Linked DNA regions of Lytechinus pictus. The protein of the gene in region 3 interacts with the protein of the main gene of each other region in a biochemical or structural test. Links are inferred from orthologs where the notes say so. Each region holds a gene or a part of one and is shown on either strand. Other genes may lie near its edges.

What was found.
Region 1: the proteins of leucine-rich repeat serine/threonine-protein kinase 1-like (region 3) and ribosome quality control complex subunit TCF25-like form a complex in vitro, tested with the Homo sapiens proteins (2 studies listed by BioGRID and IntAct, with this or other methods). The link is inferred for Lytechinus pictus from reciprocal best matches to the Homo sapiens genes LRRK1 and TCF25.
Region 2: the proteins of leucine-rich repeat serine/threonine-protein kinase 1-like (region 3) and DNA-directed RNA polymerase II subunit GRINL1A-like form a complex in vitro, tested with the Homo sapiens proteins (2 studies listed by BioGRID and IntAct, with this or other methods). The link is inferred for Lytechinus pictus from reciprocal best matches to the Homo sapiens genes LRRK1 and POLR2M.

The regions. Positions count from the first base shown.
Region 1 is NC_087246.1:54,859,930-54,867,654, reverse strand, and holds the start of ribosome quality control complex subunit TCF25-like, read left to right. Parts: upstream 1-4,232; 5' UTR 4,233-4,712; intron 4,713-7,725. UniProt on the Homo sapiens protein: Component of the ribosome quality control complex (RQC), a ribosome-associated complex that mediates ubiquitination and extraction of incompletely synthesized nascent chains for proteasomal degradation.
Region 2 is NC_087249.1:18,275,133-18,283,333, reverse strand, and holds the start of DNA-directed RNA polymerase II subunit GRINL1A-like, read right to left. Parts: upstream 3,494-8,201; 5' UTR 3,488-3,493; coding exon 3,395-3,487; intron 1-3,394.
Region 3 is NC_087249.1:24,364,866-24,373,360, reverse strand, and holds the start of leucine-rich repeat serine/threonine-protein kinase 1-like, read right to left. Parts: upstream 3,174-8,495; 5' UTR 3,085-3,173; intron 1-3,084. Other genes in the region: uncharacterized protein LOC129261642, read right to left, coding at 5,675-5,871, 6,955-7,030.

The DNA.
Region 1 (7,725 bases), on a different chromosome or scaffold from region 3:
AATGGAAAAAAAAGACCCATCAACCATCAGTCACTTGGCATTTTAAGTTTTAAATACCAACCAAGAGAAAGAAAGGGGTGGAGGGCGGGGGTGAGTACATGACACGTAATTTGTAAGAGAACACAAAGAAGAATGCCCCTTTAACCCAGTCTTACCCTATCTCATCCCCTTGCATGTAACAGGTACCATCACATTACTCTGACTCTCACAAGCACACTTGCTAAGATCCACATAACAAACGAAAAATGCTACACTAAAATTACAATTCCTGTTTACTCATGCATTACATTTCAATTTAGTAACTCGTGAAATTTGCTTAAGAAACCAAAACTGATCTCCATTTATCAGTAATTTAGCATAACACCCTTAACTTTGCAAGTTCCAAAGGACTCACCTCTAAAAAAATGGAATTAAGGCTAATTCCTGCTCACCCTAGCAAAGGCTAGTCTCTCAGGAGGGGTGAAAGGGGTAGAGAGAGAGAGAGGGGGGGTTAAGTGTTCTGTTGACCCATATCCCGTCAACCTACTTCCCCCACCTAAGTCCTATCCCTATTCTGACTTCCATGAACACATTGCTGAGATCCACTTAAAAAGTGAAAAATTGTATTTCATGTTCACTCATACATTAAATTTCAATTTAATAATTCTTAAAATTTGCTCTAAAAACCTAAATTGATAATGCTTGATCATTGATTTATCAAAACTTTGCAAGTTCCAAGGGACTCGCATCTCAAAAACTGAAAGAAATTGGAAGGCTAATTCCTGCCCACCCTAATTTTCATACCCTTTGTTTCAGTGGGCAGTGCTCGCTCAAGCATGAAAAGTTTTCCAACTTTTTGGTGTCATTTTAAAGTTGACTTTATAGGCTTCCATGTATGTAAGTGTTTCCCCCCAAAGTGATATATTTTTTATTTGGCAGCCATTTCAAAAGTGTATAGTTTTTTTTGGGACGCACTGTAGAAATAGAATAAAATAAAATTACAAGTTTAAAAAAAAAGATAAGATTTAAAAAAATGGTCCCCGGATTTTTTTTTTTTTTTTTGGGGGGGGGTTGCAACCCCCCCAACCCTCCCTCTAGATCCGCTTCTGGCAATTCTTAGCCTAGATTGGGTAAAATCGTGAATCTTAAATCAGATTGTGACACCGACCTGCTGAGAGCTGACTCAATATGCAGGGGCGCTATTTAGAAAGTAATCGTGTATGAAGATTACACGTAATATACCTTCATTGTCGTTTTTGCTTGTCAAGGTTTTGACATTGTATTGGACACTGTATTTGTTAAAAATGGAAATAAACGAAATGAAATTAAAAAAATATTGTCTGAGACTATATATTTTTATCTAACATTGATATAAACAACTTACAGTTTACCTCTTAAAATCCAATCATGACATCAATTTACAACATAATATATAAAAGGGGCGCTATTTCTAAAGTTATCGTGTACAAAGATTGCACATTACATACTGTCGGAAAGAATTGTTTTGTTGTTGTGCTCAGTGGCAACACCAGGATTTTTTAACATGGGGGGCAAATAAAGGAACATTTTTCGGGGGGGGGGGCACTGAGGCGGACACGATTTTTTTTTTTGCCAGTTTCAAAAAATCGAGAGCGAAGTTTATATAGTTTATATTCTAGTTTAGCATAGGCTAACATCAACTTTTTTCTCACTCGCTTATGTATTATGTAGATCGTGTTAAGTCGGCCTATATTCTAGGCCCCCGCTCACAAGCCTTGCTTCTAAAGGGGTCGATCCTATTCGCCTATGCTATAATCTAATTGATACGTGTTTATGTATTCATATGCATTGTATTTATATTTATTTTGATAATAATGTGTTTTTTTAAATAAATAAACTTGAACTTGAATCATATGGTTGTCAAACTGTTACTATATATGTAAGTGAGAGTGCTCCGGGAAGTTGTTTTCTTTTGTTGATCTGTTCCACACTATGGTTTCACCCAATGGCGTAAATCCGTGTTGATGGGTGGGGGGGGATGACTGAAATATTTTGGCATTTTTTTGTGAACATGTTTTTAGATATGCAAGAAATTGTCATTGATATGTCCACAGTGGGTCACGGCATTGGGGGGGGGGGCACCAGCAAAATTTTTGAATCACTGAGTGAGTGCGCTAGTGAGGGCGCGAAGCGCGCTCAGTTGCCAGTTATACTGACCTAATATAGACATTTTAAGGACAATGTCATTAAACGGATATGTATCTCACTGATCAAATAATGCGAGCACGAAGCGCGAGCTGAATTTTTTTTATATTCACACCTAAAAAGGGACATTATAATCAAATTTGTGTAATCATGATAGGAACCTGTCTCGCTAAACAATGCGAACGCGAAGCGCGAGCTGAAAACTTAGATAATTCAGACCTGAAGTGGGGCATTCTAAGGTTTCTTTGTAGGAATTAACTAGGACCATACGTATTTCATTAACCAAACGATGCGAGCGCGAAGCGCGAGCTGAAAAAAATTTTTATATTCAGATCAGAAGAAGGGACATTTTAAGGACTGATTTTAGGAATTTATGAAGAGCAGACATATATCTCACCAATCCACTAATGCGAACGTAATCACGGACAGGAAATGTTTCATATAAGACCTTAACATGGGGCAATCACTTTTTGAGTCATGAAAAAGAAGCATATGTCACTACATAAAACAATGATAACTCAAGTGCTAGGAAATATATTTGGTTTATATTGACTTGAAAACGGGATGTTTTAGTACAACAGGATTATATATTTCGTTAAACAGACAATGCGAGCACCAGGAACAATGAAGACGTAGGCGCTGGGCAAATTATGTTTCATAAAGTTATGATAAAAATGTTTCTTATGTAATGTAACATAACATAATTATAATATGATATAACATTATAATGAATAATATTTTCTTCTTTCCCAATACGTTTCTCTCCCTCTTTTCTCCTTTCCCCCTTTTTTTTTGGACAGCCGATGGGGGGATGTGCCCCCCATGCCCCCCGTAGTTACGCCACTGTATGTCCATATGGCAAATACCCCTCCAATATTATTATCTTTTTTACCCCATGATGGTTTAATGGTTTTATTAGAGATTACATTCAAAATTTTTTGACATTCCATCTTAATCCCTTCCCGAAGACCCCAACATTGATGAATTGGAAGAAACGGGGGTTTCTCTTCAATGTTATAATAAGGACATAAGTATTTCGTTTGGAAATGGTGAACTGGCTCTTTATTTGCATTTTATGATTCAATAATATTATTTTATTTGTTAAGCGGTATTATAGGAAGAATTTTCACCAATAAAACAATTATCTCTTGTGATTTTTTTTCATTTCTTTCGTAAAAAGTGGGGGGGGGGGATGTTTGTACAGGCCAGGCCATCCCCCCCTCCTCGAAAAGTGGGGGGGGGGGTGGATATATCCCCCCCCCCCCCATCCCCCCGGGATTTACGCCAGTGGTTTCACCAAATTCAGAACAGAAGCATCTACTCTACCATTTGGTTGTGTGAACTTTCTTTAAACATATTACCATACCTTTTAAAAGTTGTCTCGCATGCATTTCATGTACCGGTATTACCAAACATAAAGCTAGAACTGGAACTAAGTTGAGCATTATTTGCCCCGGGGCAAGCCCATGAGGCCGAGGGTCCGCGAGGCCGATTTTTAAAGTGTATTTTCTTTCACTAGGATTTTTTTTTTCAATCAGTGGAAAAGTTTCAGCTTAGCATATTCTCTATTGAAAACTTAAATATAATCTTATAATGTAAAGGTTTGGTAAATCGGGACAACATGATTTATGCTCGAGTATATCTCACCCATCATTAATGTAGCTGGTGAGTCTCTTTTCAGCCGTTTATTCATTGTAAAAATCTGAAACTTGAGTTTTAAACATTTTGTTATATTGTTATTATTTCTCACTTGTGTTTCTTTTCTTGGAATGTAGATTTTAATTATTTCATTTGAAAACAGCAAGATTTGGAAATTGATAAAGTCAAATATACCATATTGTCCAGAACGATCAGAAACTTATTATAAAAATGACATTTGAACTGTCAAATTCTGGACTTAGATTATAATCTAAAGATTAGAATTTAGATTATTTGAGACAATGCCGAATGTTTCAATCTGGATTTGTCATTAAACTAATGAAATTTTCATTTAAAAAGTCTTCATCATATATAGCATGCCTTGAACTTGCGGTCTTGAAATAACTTTCGCTATTGCCTATTAATTATTTGCGACTCAGTTGATTAATATCGATGAAGACAAACATCCTGATTAAAGAAAATATAGCTCAGTCGGTAGAGCGGGGGTTTCGGATTCCGGTGACCCGGGTTCGATTCCAAATTGTGCGCTATAACCTATAGTGCCCTTTGCCTTTGGTAAGGCATTTATCCTCATTACCAGGTTACTCGGAGAGGACCTTAAGCCGTTGGTCCCCTCACTCCCCTGGGTACTTGCTCACAGGCCTTCGTGCTTTCTTAGCAGTCAGGTATAACCTCGGTATGATAAGAAAAGTCGGCCCGCAGACCCTCGGCCTCATGGACCCTCGCGCGGCCTCGGCCTCGTGGACGCTCGTCCTCGTGAAACGGTCGGCCTCGTCGTGAGAAGACCATTATCGTCACATTGAGACTGCCTGTTTAGATGGTCAAAAGGCAGAATTATTAAGTACTTTTCTTGGATACCAGTACATTGAGAACGACCAGTTGTGTGCAAAGTAGGTGATGATTAATATTTTGAAAGGTTTTGTTCGATTATTCCAACGATTTGATGTGTTTAGTTCGTTGTTTCTTTACTTCGGTCCCACATGGCTCGGATTGTGTAGTGTACTATAGTGTAGTTAGTAACATTGACATTGTTAAACGCGTGTGGAGGTATAGACTATAGACTATAGTCACGTATTGTAATTGTATGACCGGACACTATTATGATTCTGGACGCGCATATTACTGCGTACGAAAACAATTTCATTTTCAAACTGCATGACTTTCGCAGTTAAATTTCACAGAGCAATCCAATAGGCAATACATAGTCATAGAACAAGAATAAAAAACAAGGCAAAAAAAAACTACATTATTTATCTTTTAAATTACAGAAAATGCTTAAAATATCATATAACATAGTTTTGCATTAACAATCAAATTATGTTCTGATGGAAATATGGGCCTGATTTGATGATTTGCCGAATTTCAATCTCGTCCGCTCCTTCGATCGAATGTTGAGCCTGGTGTATTGTGGGTGCATCGACGGCTAGTTCTCAATTAAAGGAGAATGAAACTCTTGGAGCAAGTTAGCTTTTGTGAAAGCAGAAAAATCAAAGAATAAGATCAACAAAACTTTGAGTAAAATAGGACTAGCAATAAAAGAGTTATGAGCATTTGAATGTCGAGATCACTAATGCTATGGAGATCCTCCTATTGGCAATGCGACCAAGATCTGTGATGTCACACACGTACAACTCTCCCATTTGGACACTGAAAATATACCCCAAAACATCTTTTTGCTCATTCTAATCATATGACAAACGATTCATCAATGATATAATGTTGTGAAACCTCTGTACTTGTCATCTCATAAAGAGAACACCTCACCTTGTGATAGACTCTATAAAAGTGAGAATATACGTGAAATAAGTACTAAAGTAATGAGGGAGTTGTACGTGTGTGATATCACAGATCTTGGTCGCATTGCCGATGGGAGGATCTACATGGCACTAGTGATCTCAATATTCAAATGCTCATAACTTTCTTATCATTCATTCAATCTTCCTCAAACTTTCAACAATATGTTTCTTTGATTTTTCTCTTTGATATGGATTCAGCTGGTTTCAAGGGTTTCATTCTCCTTTAAGGTACCCGTGCGCGAGGTTTACCGTGATTAGAGCCGTCGACGATCGACAGCGCATCGATAGAACTTGATGAGCGTCATACGATATGAACGAGCATAATATTGGAAAGTGCCATGGAACATGCAGTAAAAAAGAAAAAAAAATAGCAAACACAAATTTATTACCAACATCTGCTCACATTCGATATAAAAAAGCAAACGAAAACTTAAAATTTACTCATGATAACATATATGAAGAAAATATCATATAAATTCTTTCTTACATCATTACAATCAAGAATATCTTTACCCGTCCGGCGCGCGTCCGGAATCATGATGTAATTTGCCGTGCACAAAAATAATTGTTTTTCGCGGAGGGGTATGAGGCAAGTGCGATGCAAAGGTAACGGTTGGTAAATGTAAAATAATTTTATCATATTCATAATTTTCATAATATTTGGAATAGCAAGTGCGAATTTTTCTTGATTGTATTTCCTCTAGTTGTAATTTTTAAAGCATTGAAATAAAGGTGTCCGGCAATAGGATACACTGCCATATATGTGTATGTATGCACCAAAAATTTGATTTGAGATTCTTCTTCTCTTGTAATTTTCAAAGGGATCTGCATCCTATCACAAAGTAAAATCAAACTTGAAATATTGCATGCACTGGATGAGGTGAGAGGAATAGTTTTGCATCTGTGGTCGTGTGAAAGTACTAGAAAAGCGAGAGATACATACTTATCAGTGCATGTCACTCATTCAATGAACAAGGTTATGAATCTGATATAACCTCATTCTCTGTTACTACTCCATGTGTGGCAAAATAATAAGGTTGGCAAGGTTTGGCATATTTTCTCTTTTTCTTTTGGACAAATGCTTGATTTTTTGACATTGTCAGTTTCCATTACAGCTTTTTATCATATAACTTGGCTCTTAAGTAATTTTGATTCTTTTAATTATTTTATCTCTAAATTAAAGACAGAGATTGAAAAACGATAATTTTCTTGCCATATTAATTTCCACCAATAGAGGACGTACACAAAAATATGCCCAACATTTTTTAGCGCTCTGGTGAATACAGAAATTATTCCCAAAATACTGATGAAAAACAAATTGCAAATGTATGGAAATTAATATTTTTGGTCACAAAAGTGATATCTTAATGATTTTTCAAAGTGTGTGTTGTGTATTGCATAGGCATACCCCATAGTCCTACCTGTAGATTCCCCACAGGCAGGATGGTTGCAGTGACCAAGTGGTGCATGTCAAATTGACATGAGACTACTTCTTCCGCATACATTCGTAATTCCGAAGCTTCGTTATTCCGAAGGTTCGTATATTCCGAAGGTTCGTTATTCCGAAGGTTCGTTTTTCCGAAGGTTCGTAATTCCGAAGGTTCGTTAATCCGAAAACGAAATGAGGTTCGTAATTCCGAAGGTTCGTTAGTCCGAAAACTAAATGATTAACGAGCCATATTTCGTTTTCGGACTAACGAACCTTCGGAACAACAAACCTTATTTTGTTTTCGGATTAACGAACCTTCGGAACAACGAACCTTATTTCGTTTTCGGATTAACGAACCTTTGGAACATCGAACCTTATTTCGTTTTTGGATTATCGAACCTTCGGAATAACGAACCTTCGGAATAACGCCACAAATGTTCGGATTAACGAACCCTTTTACATTTTCGGATTAACGAACATCGAGGTATATTAAATAGGCAATTTACGTGTTTCGGAATTATGAGCCTTCGGAATAAAGAACCTTCGGAATTACGAAGTGTAACCACTTCTTCAATCTTTGTCTGGGAGTTTGTTCCTATCAGGGAAGGATCTTTGGGCAAGAATAAACCTGAATTTCTCTAATATTCTACAAAAGTTTATGGATACTGTTCCTTATAA
Region 2 (8,201 bases), about 6.1 Mb from region 3:
AGAAATTCAGGAGTCATTAATTCATTGAAGAGTATATTCCCAAAAAATATTTTATGCATGTTGTACTCAACTCTCATTTTGCCTTACTTGAATTATTGCATCCTTGCCTGGGGTAACGCTGCTAAAGTTCATTTAGATGGGTTATTTAAAGTCCAGAAAAGGGTAATTAGACTAGTATGTGGAGTAAGTTCACGATCTCACACAAATATTTTGTTTTATGAAAACAAGTTCCTTAATTTACATGACATATTTGATCTCAACCTTGGTTGCATTATGTATCAATTAAATAAAAGAGAACTTCCACTTGCCCTTGATTCATTATGTGTTAGAAATGACCAAATCCATTCTTACTATACAAGACAAGTTTCTTTTCTCCACTTGCCATTGGTCAAAACTAGTTTTCGGCTAAATACATTCGTTTATACAGGGCCAAAATTATGGAACTCCCTTCCTTCTTCACTGAAGAAAAAAGTTAGCCTTAGTGTTTTTAGAAACAAGTTAAAGACCGATTTACTGAAGAAATACTTAAATCAGTAAACGAATGCCTGCTTGTTATATCTCGTCTAACTTTATAAATTGTATTCTTCCCACAATTATCTATGCAAAAATAGAGCTCTGCCTATTTTCTTTATATTTTCATCTTTTCTTTCTTCTTTTTGAATTTTAGATTCTTATACTTTAGGTCTAATAGAATGTTTGCATTCTGCATTTCACCTTTTTGTTACTTTTTAGTGTATCTTTTGTAAATATGTATATCTGTACTTTGGTTATTTACTCAAATTTTTTGTTTGCTTGTTCTATGATGTTTTAAAATGATTGCTAATATAATTTTTTTAACATTCTGGTGGCCTATGGCCCACAAGCTAAGCTTCTTAGTAGGTCACCACGTTTCATTTCCGTCTGTTCTCATGGGTGTTATTAATGTTCCATAAAAAGTAGTGCATGTATTATGTATATTATCCTGTAATTATTTACTATTGTTCTTTGCTATTTACTTGTATCCCAATAATCTACTGTTGTTATTTACTTATTGTTGTTGCTTGATATTGGAATTGAAACGAAATAAAGATTCATTCATTCATTCAAAAATAATGTTCTTGTTGGTGTTGTTTCTTTTGTCCTTCAGCAAAGCAAGTCTCTGATATGGGAGATTCCCATATTGGAGAGTCTCCCATATTGGCCGTGAGCCTCTACTGAAAATTGCAAACAAAAATAATGACCGACTGATACCGAGGCTAGGAATTGAATATTCAGGACAGAGATAGGGGAAATCCCCTTTTTCGCGCTCCGCACATGCGCCCTATCCTCTGTATCGGAATTCCCCTATCTCTTCATCATGAATATTCATTTCCTACCCTCAACAATGTCAACATACCCCATTGAATGCAATTGTAAAAAGACAAATTTTAGAACAGAAAATATTGCAAAAAGGCTCAACATGGTCATTGATTTTGTGGAAATTAACAAAATTCATGTTTAATGTTAATTTCTAAAGTAGAGATTATATGCTCCCCCTCAAGACTACTTGTTTCTTTTTTGGGCTGTGCCTGGCTTAGACAGCTGGCAGCCGTCAGTTTCAAGGAGTTTTTAAACATTTTTGTTTTTTTAAATTTCTCCTCGTACACAGACGGCTCGCAATCGTGCAGCCGCCATTGGCATTAGGCCTATTTAGGGGGTTAACAATGCAAACTCCCCGTTTGGACCTCATTGGTACTAGGAGTGCCCCCGACAGGGCTCATCGATTTTTGTCTTTATTTCATAAAAATATATAAAACGAACTGGACCAAAATAAATTAAAGATTGTTATTCCATTTTGGCCTGAAATGCTCCTACACAGGAAAAAATAAACTTAAAAGGAGAAAAACAGTCACTTACTACGGCTGTCGCGCAACTCTCACTTCCCTGGTTTATCCTAACTTAATACATAAACATATGGCCATGTCCATGATCATGATGGAGTCCCTGTACAGATCGAGGTAGAACTTCGGTCTCTGTAACAAAGTTAAGTGTAATTGGTGATGCCTGGAGCCACCGCCACCGGAGTTCAGCGGAACAATCAATAAAATTATAACATTAACAGAGACCAAAAGTCCAAAGCTTTGATTTGAAAATGTGTTTTTGAGTAAATTTGACAATTTTTCATCTTTCTATTCCACTCCTAGTAGTAGTACCAATGAGGTCCAAACATTAACATGTATGGACCTCATAGGCGACAATGCGTTAAAAACAGGTTAGAAGTCCTGCACCCAAGTATTTTTATGATATTCGTGATTATTACTCGAAAAATGCAAGCTTTGTCCTCATTTGTTTAGCATTTATTAAAAAATTACCCATTAACTATAATCCTACTCATATTTTAAATGTTATAAAATAAAGGGAAACTTACATTTGAGTCCTTTTTCGATCTTTTCTTGGCAGTCAGTCCGGTCCCGTCGAGTGCGATCAAAGCGGTACGAAGCTGATTTTCAGATCACGTGATACGAGTAGTCATCACCTGATCGATCGACTATCCTTTTTTAAAGACCGCAACAATTATAAATTTTATTATAAAATATATATAGAATAAAAAATTGCATGATATTATATATTTCTACAATTAAAAATATTTTGTGATATGAATTTAATATTTGACGTAAAAATCGCTATTTAACAAAATATTTATTAAAAAATAAAAAATCAAACAAAATAAAAACGCCTTGGACACAGTGCAAAAAACCTAACAATTTGGCCGCGTTCTTAACAACTATCGTAAGGGGCGCTCTATTTATAAATAAAGCTGCATATGTAGCTGTCTACCGCGACAGGAACAGCCGCAGAATTGAAGCCAGAAGCGTGGGAAATTGCCAGAAAATTCAAGAAAAGAACCGGTGAGTACCGATTTAACAGTACTAATTTATTAAGTAACATTTATTGAATCATTACAAGATTTATTTTTTAGTAAAACAAAGCTTAGTTCTAAGCTAGGGCGGCCCAAATGCGCGTGAGTGGAGTCCCAGTTTATTAGCACAGGTAAGTATTGGGGTGTCGCCTAGGCCTAGAGTGTTCTATTCAACATGTTCAAGTTCTCTTTGAAAGGATGTTGCAAAATTTTGAGCATATGGAATTATTTTCTGATGTGTATGATGCGCACGTTCGGTAATACAAGGCCGGTCGGTAATACAATCACTCACTATACGATTACGACTACGAGAAAGTCTCAATTTATTCTCGAACCGGCTGTGTGATAGCTAAACATTTCACTTTCACGAAAAGGCACGCACGGGACTGAAAGAAAGATATCGAAAGAGGTCACTCGATTTGTCTTCATTATTGCCGACAAAACACTCTATCAAAATCTAGATTTTTAGATTATTTAGATTTTACAATACTCTTTTTCTTCATCATAATGTTTTACCTTGATATTATCCTTGTAATAAATCAGATTTCTCGGATTTAAAGTAACGTTTTCACACCTGCGCGTTTCCGTTTTACACCCTGGCGAAGGCATTTTCCGCAAAAATAGCCACAAAGCGACTAGTGAAGAGTCTACACAGTACACGTCGCTGGTTGCAGCGTGCGACTCAGGCGAGCCCCACACCACCGCATGCAATCTGCACAGTTACTGATCAAAGCATAGAGTTCCTCGGCACTTCATGTTCAGAGAGCAGTCATATGAGTGAAATCCGAACATGCTTTTGCAGTTACGTTTTTTTTATGAAAAGCTATGAAAAAGTTTATTTTTCTAAATATAAATTATTAACTAAATGAATAGAATGACAGACAAAATAAAAATAAACAGATACATATAATAGAAAGAAAATTGAAGTTTGATGGATTGATACACTTAGATGCCGAAAGATAGATATAAGACTGATAAATAGATAGAGACATAGATAGATAGAAGTAGAGAGAGAGAGAGAAAGACAGAGAGATGGATAGATAGATAGATAGATAGATAGATAGATAGATAGATAGATAGATAGATAGATAGATAGATAGATAGATAGATAGATAGATAGATAGATGGGGGGAGAGAACTTGAGAGATGGAGAGATGTTATAGATAGATAGATAGATAGATAGATATATGGACGGATAAAAATAAACAGAGAGAGAGAAAAAAAGACAGACAGATGGATAGATAGAGAGAGATAGAGAGAATCTGTGAGATAGATGTTAGATAGATAGATAAAGAATGAGAGAGACAGAGAAGATAGACAAATTAACAGATAAATAGAAACTGTAGTTACATAGATAGCTAGATAAATAGATAGATAGAAGATAGATAGAGAGAAATAGAGAAAGACAGACAGATGGATAGATAGATAGAGGGGGTGGGGAGAGAGAGAGAGAGAATTTGAGAGATAGGTACATGTTAGATAGATAGATAGATAGATAGATAGATAAAGAATGAGAGAGACAGAGAAGATAGATAAATCAACAGATAGATAGATACTGTAGTTACATATAGATAGATAGATAGATAGATAGAAGATAGATAGATAGATTGATAGAGAGAGAGAGAACTAGAGAAATACAGATGGATAGATAGAGAGAGAGAGAGACAGAGAAGATTAATAGATAGATACTGTAGTTACATAAATAGATAGATAGATAGATTTATAATTTGAGAGATAGATACATAGACGGATAGAGAGAAAAAGACAGACAGATGGATAGATAGATAGAGAGAATTTGAGAGACAGACAGACAGATGGATAGAGAAAATTCGAGAGATAGATAGACGGATAGAGAGAAACAGAGAGAGAGAAAAAGATAAATAGATAAAAGATAGATAGATAGATAGATAGATAGATAGATAAGATAGATAGATAGATAGATAGATAGATAGATAGATAGATAGATAGATAGATAGATAGATAGATAGATAGATAGATAGATAGATAGATAGATAGATAGATAGATAGATAGATAGATAGATAGATGGGGGAGAGAACTTGAGAGATGGAGAGATGTTATAGATAGATAGATATACTGTATATGGACGGAAAAAGAGAAATAGAGAAAGAGAGAGAAAAAAAGACAGACAGATGGATAGATAGATAGAGGGAGAGAGAGATAGAGAATTTGAAAGATAGATAGATTTTAGATAGATATATAGATAGATAGATAGATAAATAGATAGATAGATAGATAGATAGATAGATAGATAGATAGATAGATAGATAGATAGATAGATAGATAGATAAAGAATGAGAGAGACAGAGAAGATAGACAAATTAACAGATAGATAGATACTGTAGTTACATAGATAGATAGATAGAAGATAGATAGATAGATTGATAGAGAGAGAGAGAACTAGAGAAATACAGATGGATAGATAGAGAGAGAGAGAGACAGAGAAGATTAATAGATAGATACTGTAGTTACATAAATAGATAGATAGATAGATTTATAATTTGAGAGATAGATACATAGACGGATAGAGAGAAAAAGACAGACAGATGGATAGATAGATAGAGAGAATTTGAGAGACAGACAGACAGATGGATAGAGAAAATTCGAGAGATAGATAGACAGAAGATAGATAGATAGAGAGAAATAGAGAAAGACAGACAGATGGATAGATAGATAGAGAGAGGGAGAGAGAGAGAGAGATAGAGAATTTGAGAGATAGGTAGATGTTAGATGGATAGATAGATAAAGAATGAGAGAGACAGAGAAGATATACAAATTAACAGATAGATAGATACAGTAGTTACATAGATAGATAAATAGATAGAAGATAGATAGATAGATAGATAGATGGGGAGAGAACTTGAGAGAGGGAGAGATGTTATAGATAGATAGATATATATGGACGGAAAAAGAGAAATAGGGAAAGAGAGAAAACAAGACAGATGGATAGATAGATAGATAGATAGATAGATAGATAGATAGATAGATAGATAGATAGATAGATAGATAGAGGGAGAGATATAGAGAGAGATAGATAGATAAAGAATGTGAGAGACAGAGAAGATTAACAGATAGATAGATACTGTAGTTACATAGATAGATAGAGATAGAATTTGAGAGATAGATAAATAAATAGATAGAAGATAGATAGAGAGAGAAAGACAGAAAGATGGATAGATAGATAGAGAGAGGGGGAGAGAGAGATAGAGAATTTGAGAGATAGATAGATGTTAGATAGATAAAGAATGAGAGAGACAGAGAAGAGCGACAAATTATCGATAGATACTGCAGTTACATATAGATAGATAGAAGATAGATAGATAGATTGATAGAGAGAGAGAGAACTAGAGAAATAGAGATGGATAGATATATATATATAGAGAGAGAGAGACAGGGAAGATTAATAGATAGATACTGTAGTCACATAAATAGATAGATATATAATTTGAGAGATAGATACATAGACGGATAGAGAGAAAAAGACAGACAGATGGATAGATAGATAGAGAGAGAGAATTTGAGAGACAGACAGACAGATGGATAGAGAGAATTCGAGAGATAGATAGACGGATAGAGAGAAACAGAGAGAGAGAAAAAGACAGACAGATGGATAGATAGAGAGAATTTGAGATATATATATATATATATATATATATATATATATATATATATATATATATATATATATATTGGATTTTATTGCAATAAAAACTATCAAAATACAATCACAAGCAGTCAAAGACTGAAATAAGTGAATGTTTACATACAAATAGAATCATTACAAAATATAAAGTAAACTTTATAAATAAATATCAAATACAATACAAATTCATACAGATAAAAAAGAAATGTATCATAAATAAATACAAAAGGCCAAAAGTAAAGTGTCACCAAAGAAAAAAAAGCGGAATGAAAGATTAAGAAGAAAGAGGTGAGAGAAGGGAAAGAAATTGGGATAAGACAAAGAGAAGGGAAAGCAAGAGGTGGAATTTGAAAGAGAATAGGAGGCAACCTTCAGAAGAAAAAAAAACTCATTATGCAATACAAGACATTTAACAATGGTAACAAGTAAATAAAGTAGTAATTGAATCGAATTGAGCACAAAAAAGGGAAAAGTAGAGCTGAGGAAATAGACTCCCGAAGGAAGTCGAAGCAGTGTTGATATTGCACATGAGTAGATTAACAGATGGATAGAGAGAAATAAAAGAGAGACAGATGGATAGATAGAGAATTTGAGAGATAGATGTTAGATGGATAGATAGATAGACAGATAGATAGGTAGATAGAGAATGAGAGAGACAGAGTAGATAGACAAATTAACAGATAGTGGATAGACAGATATGATAGATATAAGGATAGATATAATATGAAAAAAAGTAATTATGTGTTTTACTTTTCAATATTTTAGCTATTATTCGTTTTCATTCATATAAACGATCATGTGCGATAGTAAAAAAAATCATGAAGCCAACGTATATAGTTCAGCGGAACAACCAAAATACAGAGACTGAAGCTTTTGGTCTATAAGCTCAGCTGCATTTGCACGTATGTTCTAGGATATCTTCGGTGCGGACTTTTGGATCGCGCCCAGCTGATTATGTAAACAAACGTAGACGTAGACTCTTCACTAGTCGCTTTGTGGCTATTTTTCCGGAAAATGCCTTCGCCAGGGTGTAAAACGGAAACGCGCGCGCGGCCAACAACTGACAAGTACATGTATGGTGTTCCTCAAAACTGGTTAAAATTGAAAATGGAAATGAATACCGTACCGGTAACCAGCTGCTATATATATGGCCTGTCAAAAGGCTGTATATTGCTTTCCTTACCCACTAGCGATCACGAGAAACAGGGGCCGCGGAACGAATTTAAAACTGGAAGGGGGTGACTGTACATAAAGTAACAATTTGATCATCATTTTCACGTTTGTGTATTTTTACTGAAAAGTGCCACCCCTCCCCCACAGTTCCATCTTCTTTTAACTTAAAACATCTCTGGAAAACTGAATAACAATATTTTAATATTACAGATGAAAGCCTAGCTGATAAAAAAGTGATGTTTTTTTTATTCTGTTTCAAGCTGTAAACACTATGTTCAACAGAGAGGATAATTGAAGGACGGATCTAGTGGGATATATTCAAAGAAAAAAAAAAGAAAGGGGAGAAATCCATAGAGTAAACATCGATACCCCCTACCGAGTATCTCCTTGATCTCCCATTTCCTCCCCCTCTCTCTCTCCTATCCCCTTCTTCTTCTCCTCCTCCCCCTTCTTTTTTTTCCTCCTCTTTCTTCTTCTTTTTTTTTCTT
Region 3 (8,495 bases):
AGAATTCACTGAGCAAAATGCCAAAAAAATTTCATCAAAATCGGATAACAAATAACAAAGTTATTGAATTTTTAAGTTTAGCAATATTTTGCAAATACAGTCGTCATGAATATTCATTAGGTGGGCTGATGTCACATCCCCACTTGTTCTTTTGTATTTTATTATATGAAATTAGGTTTATTCAATTTTTTTCCTCCAAGAACTAGGAAAATTGGATTGACAAGTGCATTGGATATTTATTGCTGCAACTTATTTCATTATAAGGGAGACATATTATTCACACAAGTATGAAATAATGAAAAAATTAAGATTTTATGTAATAACATAAGAAAACGGAAAGTGGGGATGTGACATCATCAGCCCACCTAATGAATATTCATGATGACTGTTTTCTCAAAATATTGCTAAACTTCACTATAGTGCATAAAGTCTAGCCTGTGTATATGCATGCTGGCTCAGTCAGTCTCTAACAGGTTAAAAAATAGTTGTTTGAAGGAAACTCAAACTAGTATTCCAGACATTTTGTTTTTTAACAAAATATGTTCATCCCTTTTAGCACATTCATGAAACAAACCTTTGAATCTGAATGGTTCAGCTCTAGCCAATATACTTCATGAAAACTCCACACATGCACATAGCTACATTATGTTCAAGTACCGTACATTACATAGGGAAATTGACATGATATTTGTCAATTAGAATGTAATAAGGAATCAATGAAATTCTGAAGATCCTACACTTTACACATTTACCTTTAAACTATATTACCGTATGTGCATTGATAAAAGATTCTGAAGCAACAAGTTGAATTGGGATCAAGAATGTCAACTAAACACATTATAAAACTCATATTTAATAAATATGAGTTTTATAATGTGTTTAGTTGACATTCTTTATTTATACATGTCGGTTTCCATTTTATTTTCATCATCATAACATGGGGTTTGAATAAGCCTTGCACAAATATTTGATTACATACGTGTAATTGTATCGTGTTTCAATGTTCTCACGGCTGCACCAGTTTTGAAAGGAAGTTCCCGAACACAAAATGGAGGGAATATCTGTATTAATTGGTGATTCTGCTTCATTTAAATATTTTGAACAAATACATGTAAGAGTACATTTTTGCAGTTTTATTTTGTCACAAGTGTGTATAAAATGAGATCTCTTTTGAATTTTATCCAAGTATGTCTGGCTGTTTGCCTCTCTGCCATTATAAATCCCCCATAACCTACTGACATCAAAACACAACTAAGTATACACTGTCATTTCTTTCTTACCTTTCATCAGTAACATCCATGTTGTACCTGGTAATAACATCCAAAGGTTCAATCAATCAAATATCAAATCCAGTACATCTGGTATCAAATCTAACAGCGAGTTTTTCTATTGATATAAAGCAGGCTAAACATAACAATCGGACCTTCGCTACTAGGAAAATATCATTTCCATATTCAGAATGAGTGTAAGATCAGAGTCCAGAATTTACGAGTTATGATTATTTGAAGGGCACTGGAGAAACTTATAAAAGGTAACATTGAATGAAATATATCTGAAAGCAATTTGCAAAAATAACTATTGACAAATAATAGGCCTAGTGCAAATTGAAAGTTTATTTCTCACTGTTAGTGTTACTTAACTTATAAAATGTTTCAATTTGAACTTATCACGATTGGAATACATGATGCATAGTAAATCAGTGAAAAGTTTTCTTGCATACACTGCATGGCATATTTACATATATCTTATGTTTGGTATTATTCTTAAAATATAACAGGCAAAGTTCTTGAACATGAACTGAAAGTCCCCACAAATGACTCCCAAAACAGATAAGATGGACACCAAAAATACAGCACTATTGGCAATAGCCCCATGAAACATGAAATCAATGCACTAGCTACTCCATCATTGATGTCACAGATTATGCAATCTCTCAAATATGCTGAACCACTACGTGTCTCTTCTGCGCAACTTTCATGATGCAACGGTCTAGAAACGAATCAGATTCCCTTGGACAGAGAAGTAGGTCAGCATGCAAGCCAGAAGGGGGGGGGGGGTGGGCCACTTCCATTTATGACGAGTTGATACCAGGCGCGACCAAAGAAACGCGTAAAAAGGATCTCTAGTTTTCAAGGGCATGTTACGCGTAACATAATAAGGGTGTCAAAAACATTAAAATACTGAAAAAAGTGTACATATTTTGCTAGGAAAGCTATGTGTTTACGATCAAATTTGCGAAGGTATAAAACAGACTGAAATGCTTTACAAAGGATGTACTTTTTGCCCCAACATGTGTTTAGAGTCCGATTTGAGAGAGGCGTGGGAGATTGGGCGGTACTAAACCCAACAAAAGTAGAGGTAAAGCTGACGTCCATGACATAACAATTAAAATATCGCTGTTTAGGGGGTCAATTCAGGGATTAGTTGTCAAGGCTACCGTTTTGTTTCCAATACTTGTTAAGGGTAGGGTTTCACATGGCAATACTACTTGTTAAGGGATGCGTTTTCAAAATATGGAAAATGCTTGTTTAGGATATGCATTTCATAACCAAATGGTCGCGCCTGGTATCCACTCGTCAATGGGTGTGCCCCCCTCCTCGGGCATGAAAGCAAAGTGACGGACCTATATCTTGGTCCAGATTGGGTATGGATCAAGTAGGACTGAATTTTTGGGATCTACTTTAATAAAGAACAGATATAAACCAAATATACCTGTTGTTTCTTTATTAAGTATTGAGGAAATTATTCATCCTTGGTTGGACTGGGAATATCATCCTTTTTTTCTCTGAAAAATAGTTATTGGCGGTCCAACCACAGATAAATTTTTTTTTATGCATCCTCAAAGCCTGGTATACTTGTATACTACATTATGATTATTATCCCAAACATCCAAGAACTCAAACATTGACAACTACCGACTTCAGCACCAAAGTCTCAAGCAATAAGGACGATTAAAAAGCAACAGTACACACTCCTTGGTCCTCTTTTGATTGTTTGGATCCAAATATTGAGGGGTACATCCAGGAAGACACACACAAATAAATAACGTACATTTCCATGACCATGAACATACACAAATCTTACCTGCAAGGTAAAGAATTTGTCATCTGATACAAACAGCATTAACTTTATCTAGACTGCATGAAGTACACTTGTCAGATATCAACTAAACTTATACCTGTTCCTTTTGAGTTAACATTTACTTGATAAAAAAAAGTAGAAAATGGTAATCCCTTCTGGTCAAATTACACACACGCCTGCTATTGTACTTGCACTGCAATGCTAAAGGGAAATCCCAGGGGTTTATTTTTATCACTAGCTCTTTATTTGTGGGGCTCATGGAATGTTTAAACATAGGATTTCATAAAAAGACTTCCTTTCATGTGCATTCATCCATATTTCCATTGAGCATACCTAGGAGCTTCAGGTCTGAGCACTGATGAATCATAGCTCTATGGATGAATGCAGATTTATTTTTTAACAATATTAATGCAGAAAGCTTTCTTTAGGCAACCCTTGAGAAGGCTAGTGGGGAAAAACCAGGCAACTTTTATAGGAGAAAAAGAAGGAAAAAGAAAAGGGAGAGACATACTATTTCGTAAATGATGAAAAACCCCAAATCATGTAGCAATGGCCTCAGTATCAAGCACGTTGTCTTCACTATAATCTGTAAAGCCCCAGTCACATAAAAAAAGGCCCCAGACCACCCCGGATCTGATTCGAGGTGGTCCGGGGAGAGATCTGTGTTGGCGCCTTGAATGTCCGGCCGGGATGCCAACATGGCAGTTTTTTACTATAAAAAAAACGTCCGGTGTCATCCGTGGACTGCCGGGTAGACAAGCAATCTGGGATGTCTGTGTAGCTGCCGTGTTGGTCCGTGTAGTTGCCGTGTAGGTCCGCATGGTTGCCTGGAGTATCCTTGACAGTCCGTGTTCTTTTTTTTCATATCAATTTTATACAACGCTGTTTACTTTATGAACTTTCAAGTAGTTGTTAAACACTTGACATAAGCATGCTTTATTTATTTAAGATTAAATATTCAAATTTTGTAATGTAAGATTTCAAGCACTTAACAACTACTGTACAAATAGTAAACTGCATTGTGTAAAAAATTAAAACAGCGTTTTTACTGGTTAAAGGAAGTTTGGGTTTTTTATTTTTTTGTAATTCATACCGGCATTGCTGTGTTGATCTTTGAGGATCCGTGTCTACATGTGACTGGGGCTTAAATAGAGTTTGATTTTATTTCAGTAATCCATTAACTTTACAGCTTTATTTCTTTGGGCTTTTTTAAAATGTAGTATTGGTTAATTGATGGGTTTCTATTACCCCCACCCTCATTACAAATACAAGGCAAAAGCAATTTTGTGTCTCGCCCACTTATGAAAATAACCAGAAATATAGTGATTTGCGAGGGCACGCAACAGAATTGTATCAAAACTTCCTTGTGAAATGACTGGGATGGAATAACACTTGTCATAAGAGTCTTGCACATAAACTTTAATGTTGACCTCAAAATGAACTTTGACCATACCATGTGACCTCCCAACACAATAGCATGCAGGTCCCCTAAGTACATCTACCATCGAAGTTTGGTTGTACTTTAACATTGACCTGAAAATGACCGTTGACCTTATCATGTGACCTCCGACTGCAAAATAACATGCAGGTCCCCCAAGTACATCTACCATCCAGGTTTGGTTGAAAAGTGACTTACGGTTGCGGAGTTAGGTCTCAGAAGAGTCTTGCATGTAAAATTTAACGTTGACCTGAAACTGACCTTTGACCTTACCATGTGACCTCCGACTGCAGCATAACACGCAGGTCCCCCAAGTCCATCTTCCATCCAAGTTTGGGTGAAAAGTAACTTACGGTTGTGGAGTTAGGTGTCATAAGAGTCTTGCATGTAAACTTTAACGTTGACCTAAAAATGACCTTTGACCTTACCATATGACCTCGGACTGCATAATAACATGCAGGTCCCCAAAGTCCATCTACCATCCAAGTTTGGTTGAAAAGTGACTTCTGGTTGTGGAGTTAGGTGTCATAAGAGTCTTGCATGTAAACTTTAACGTGAAAAAATGACCTTTGACCTTACCATATGACCTCCGACTGCAGCATAAAATGCAGGTCCCCAAAGTCCATCTACCATCCAAGTTTGGTTGAAAAGTGACTTCTGGTTGTGGAGTTAGGTGTCATGAGAGAGTCTTGCATGTAAACTTTAACGTTGACCTGAAAATGACCTTTGACCTTACCATGTGACCTCCGACTGCAGCATAACATGCAGGTCCCCCAAGTCCATCTACCATCCAAGTTTGGTTGAAAAGTGACTTACGGTTGTGGAGTTATGTGTCATAAGGTTTGTGACGGACGGACAACGGACGACATTTGGATCCCTAAGTCTCGCCTTCACCTCTAGTGGGCGAGACAAAATCATAACTTCTATGATTTCTTTTCATAAGATTTCATGCCTAATTTTGTGTAAATTTCAAACAATTAATAATTTTGTATGAAATACCACATACCAGTAGTAAAAATATATAAATGATGGCTATGAATAAATTGCCTAAAATGCAAATTTTTAAGTTGCAATGGAACAAAAATGCAATTTGGAATGATAACGAATAAACTCCACCACCCATCCCCAATCCTAAAAATATTTTTCGTTAACTTTTCATCCCCTGAATGAAGATATGATACCTTGACAAGCCGATAGAAGCGGATTGGGATCATGTTCTTCAGAGAAGAGGTGCCCAGGCCTAGGACTCTGTCTTATCAGGTGATCCAACCAGTAGTCTATCACTTCCTTCTTCCCTTCTCTACAGGCACAGCAGACAAGCTGTTTCAACTCGGCAACATCCTCTAGAAGTCCTGGAAACATGGAGATGAAGATTCATAAATGCAAACACAGATAAATAGAATCAGTACTCACCTTTAAGGAAAAAGGACCCTTACACATGTACTCCCTATGACAAAACGGGACACCCCCCCCCCCCTTCTCAGACAACTACCCTTCCCCAGAACAAGCATGCTCGATGACAAATACTATATGGGCAACTACTTCCTAAAATAACTTGATTATTATCCTCACCCTCCGTATCACTACAAGGATTATCAACAATATCATTAATATCACGTTTTTTTTTCGGGTAGGCGGGGTGGGGGTTATAATGTCCTCAGGGTGCTTGGTGTGTGGGGTAGTTAATTGTCCAGAGATGAATGTCCTCACATAAAGGGGTGGTTGCACAAGACGGTAATTTACGGACAAGTCCAGCCCTACATCCTTGTCAATATGCAAATGAGGTGACTGATGACATCATCCACTCACTTATTTTCTTTTGTTTTTCATTATATGACATATTAATAAATTATAATAATTTTCACCTCATTGTCATGTGAAACAAAGTTTTATTTCTTTTGAAATTACCATTGTTTCAACATCTTTTTGTTCAGTCAAGTTTCTAATTACTATCAAATCTGTAAAAATTGAAACATTTTATAATTCAAACCATGTTGCACAAAAGAAATAAAGAGGGACCATGGTTGACTCTCAGTTACAGTGCATATTACAGTTTTGTGAAAAATAAGTGAAATTTTGAAATGTCATGTCTTTATATCCAAATTTGATTAAATTTTCAGAGTTATAATCATTCGATCTCTATTGATTCAAATCATCATTTTTCTAGAGTGGACTTGACCTTTAATTCTACAGTATAGGAATCATTCAGACTACTGGAATTGGCAGCTAAAACTTTTTCCTGGGGGGGGGGGGGGTCCCAAAGAAGATGTGTTGCTACGTCCATGCATTCATTGTCTTTTGTTGGTCATAATATGGAGCTCTCCAGTTAGAAATCAGTTTAACGTCTCAACATCAAAAACCTTGATTCCAAATATACACTGAGCTGCTAGCTTGAAAAATTAGAAGTTATACAGTGAGAAAGATATAAAACTTACCTTCATCCATTTCCACCAGTTTAGTGATAACATTTAGATGACCCTCAGCAGTAGCTACTTCCAGTGCACTCCTTCCCTGTGTGATCAAGCAAATACTGTATCGTTCCACAGAGGCTGATCTCACTACGTTCCTAAAACTAGTATACTGGAAACTACTTTAGTGGAAACTAGTACTTTAACGCGTAGTGAGAACGGTCGAAGCGGTCTTGGAAGCAATATTCCAAACCAGTTTGGAAAACCACCTCGCGATGTAGTTTTCAAGATCGCTTTGCCTCGTTAAACTGGTTTTAGCGTAAGTGAGGACACAACCGTTCTTCAGGAAGCGATCTTCGCACATTTTGAGCGCGCTACTCCACACGACATGTGTAGAATACCTATGCTGCGGTTTCGAATTTCGCGCGAAAGGTATCACCCCACTGAGAGCGTTTCCATTGCAACAAGAGCGCTTTCCGTGAAGTGATTTTGAAAACCACTTTCGTTTGATCAAGTGGGAACGCTAGCAAAGCGATCTTCCAAAGTGGTTTCCTGAATCGGTTTCCAGTAAACTAGTTTTAGAAAGCGTAATGAGAACGGCCTCACAGATGATATGAATTCCAAATTCAGATTGATAAACATGATTCTGGTGATACTAATGTAAATTACTCTACCACTCTTCCTTACATCAATCTTCCAGCCTGTACTTTGTTGGAAGAAGAAACCCAAACTGAATAAAACAATATTTATGTATTACAATATAGTATTACACTGATAGTCAAATACAGAGATACACTACATGCACTGTACAAAACAAGATGATTCATTTAAGTTGTTCAGAATCATTCTACTGACGGTATTAATTTCAATTTCATTACATATGAAAATCATGCACTATAAAACAATGCCCCTAATAGAAAGTTATACAAAATTACAAAAATAATGACAACAGACCATTCCACTGTATGTAGAAATATAAAATCTGAAGATTTTTTCTTTCACAAACTGAAGATATTTCGGTATGTTTCCCTGACAATCTGACTAGCAGAAACTGATCGCACCTCACCCAAGTTCATGGTTTTATAAATACATAATAGAAAGTGGGTATTTCAGAGGAAGTAGGATTTCCCTGTGAGGAATTCCCAAGCCCTACCTGCCTATCGCTGAATCAAGGGGAGAATTTCATGAAAAAAATAAGCTCCTGAAATCCTTTGCTCTGATTGGATCAGAGCAAATGAATCAGTGAAAATCACAGAAAAAATATCCACTCCCCAGAAATGAATCCAGCTGGTTAATATTAAACACCATACAATACATCAGTGGCGGATCGGGGGGGGGGGGGGGGGGGGGGGGGGGGTCACATCCGGCCCGTGCCCTCCCCCCCCCCCCCTTCAGAGAATTGAGACACACCAAAAAAATGTTATAGTGCAATATGTAATGCATGGGCAAGTGAGGACCTGGGGTGGTATTCTGGAACACTGTCATAACTTTTGTCATAAATTTTGTCATTTCTCTCCGAGATGTCACACCGCTATGATAGTCACAAATCGGTATTCTGAACATTGTCT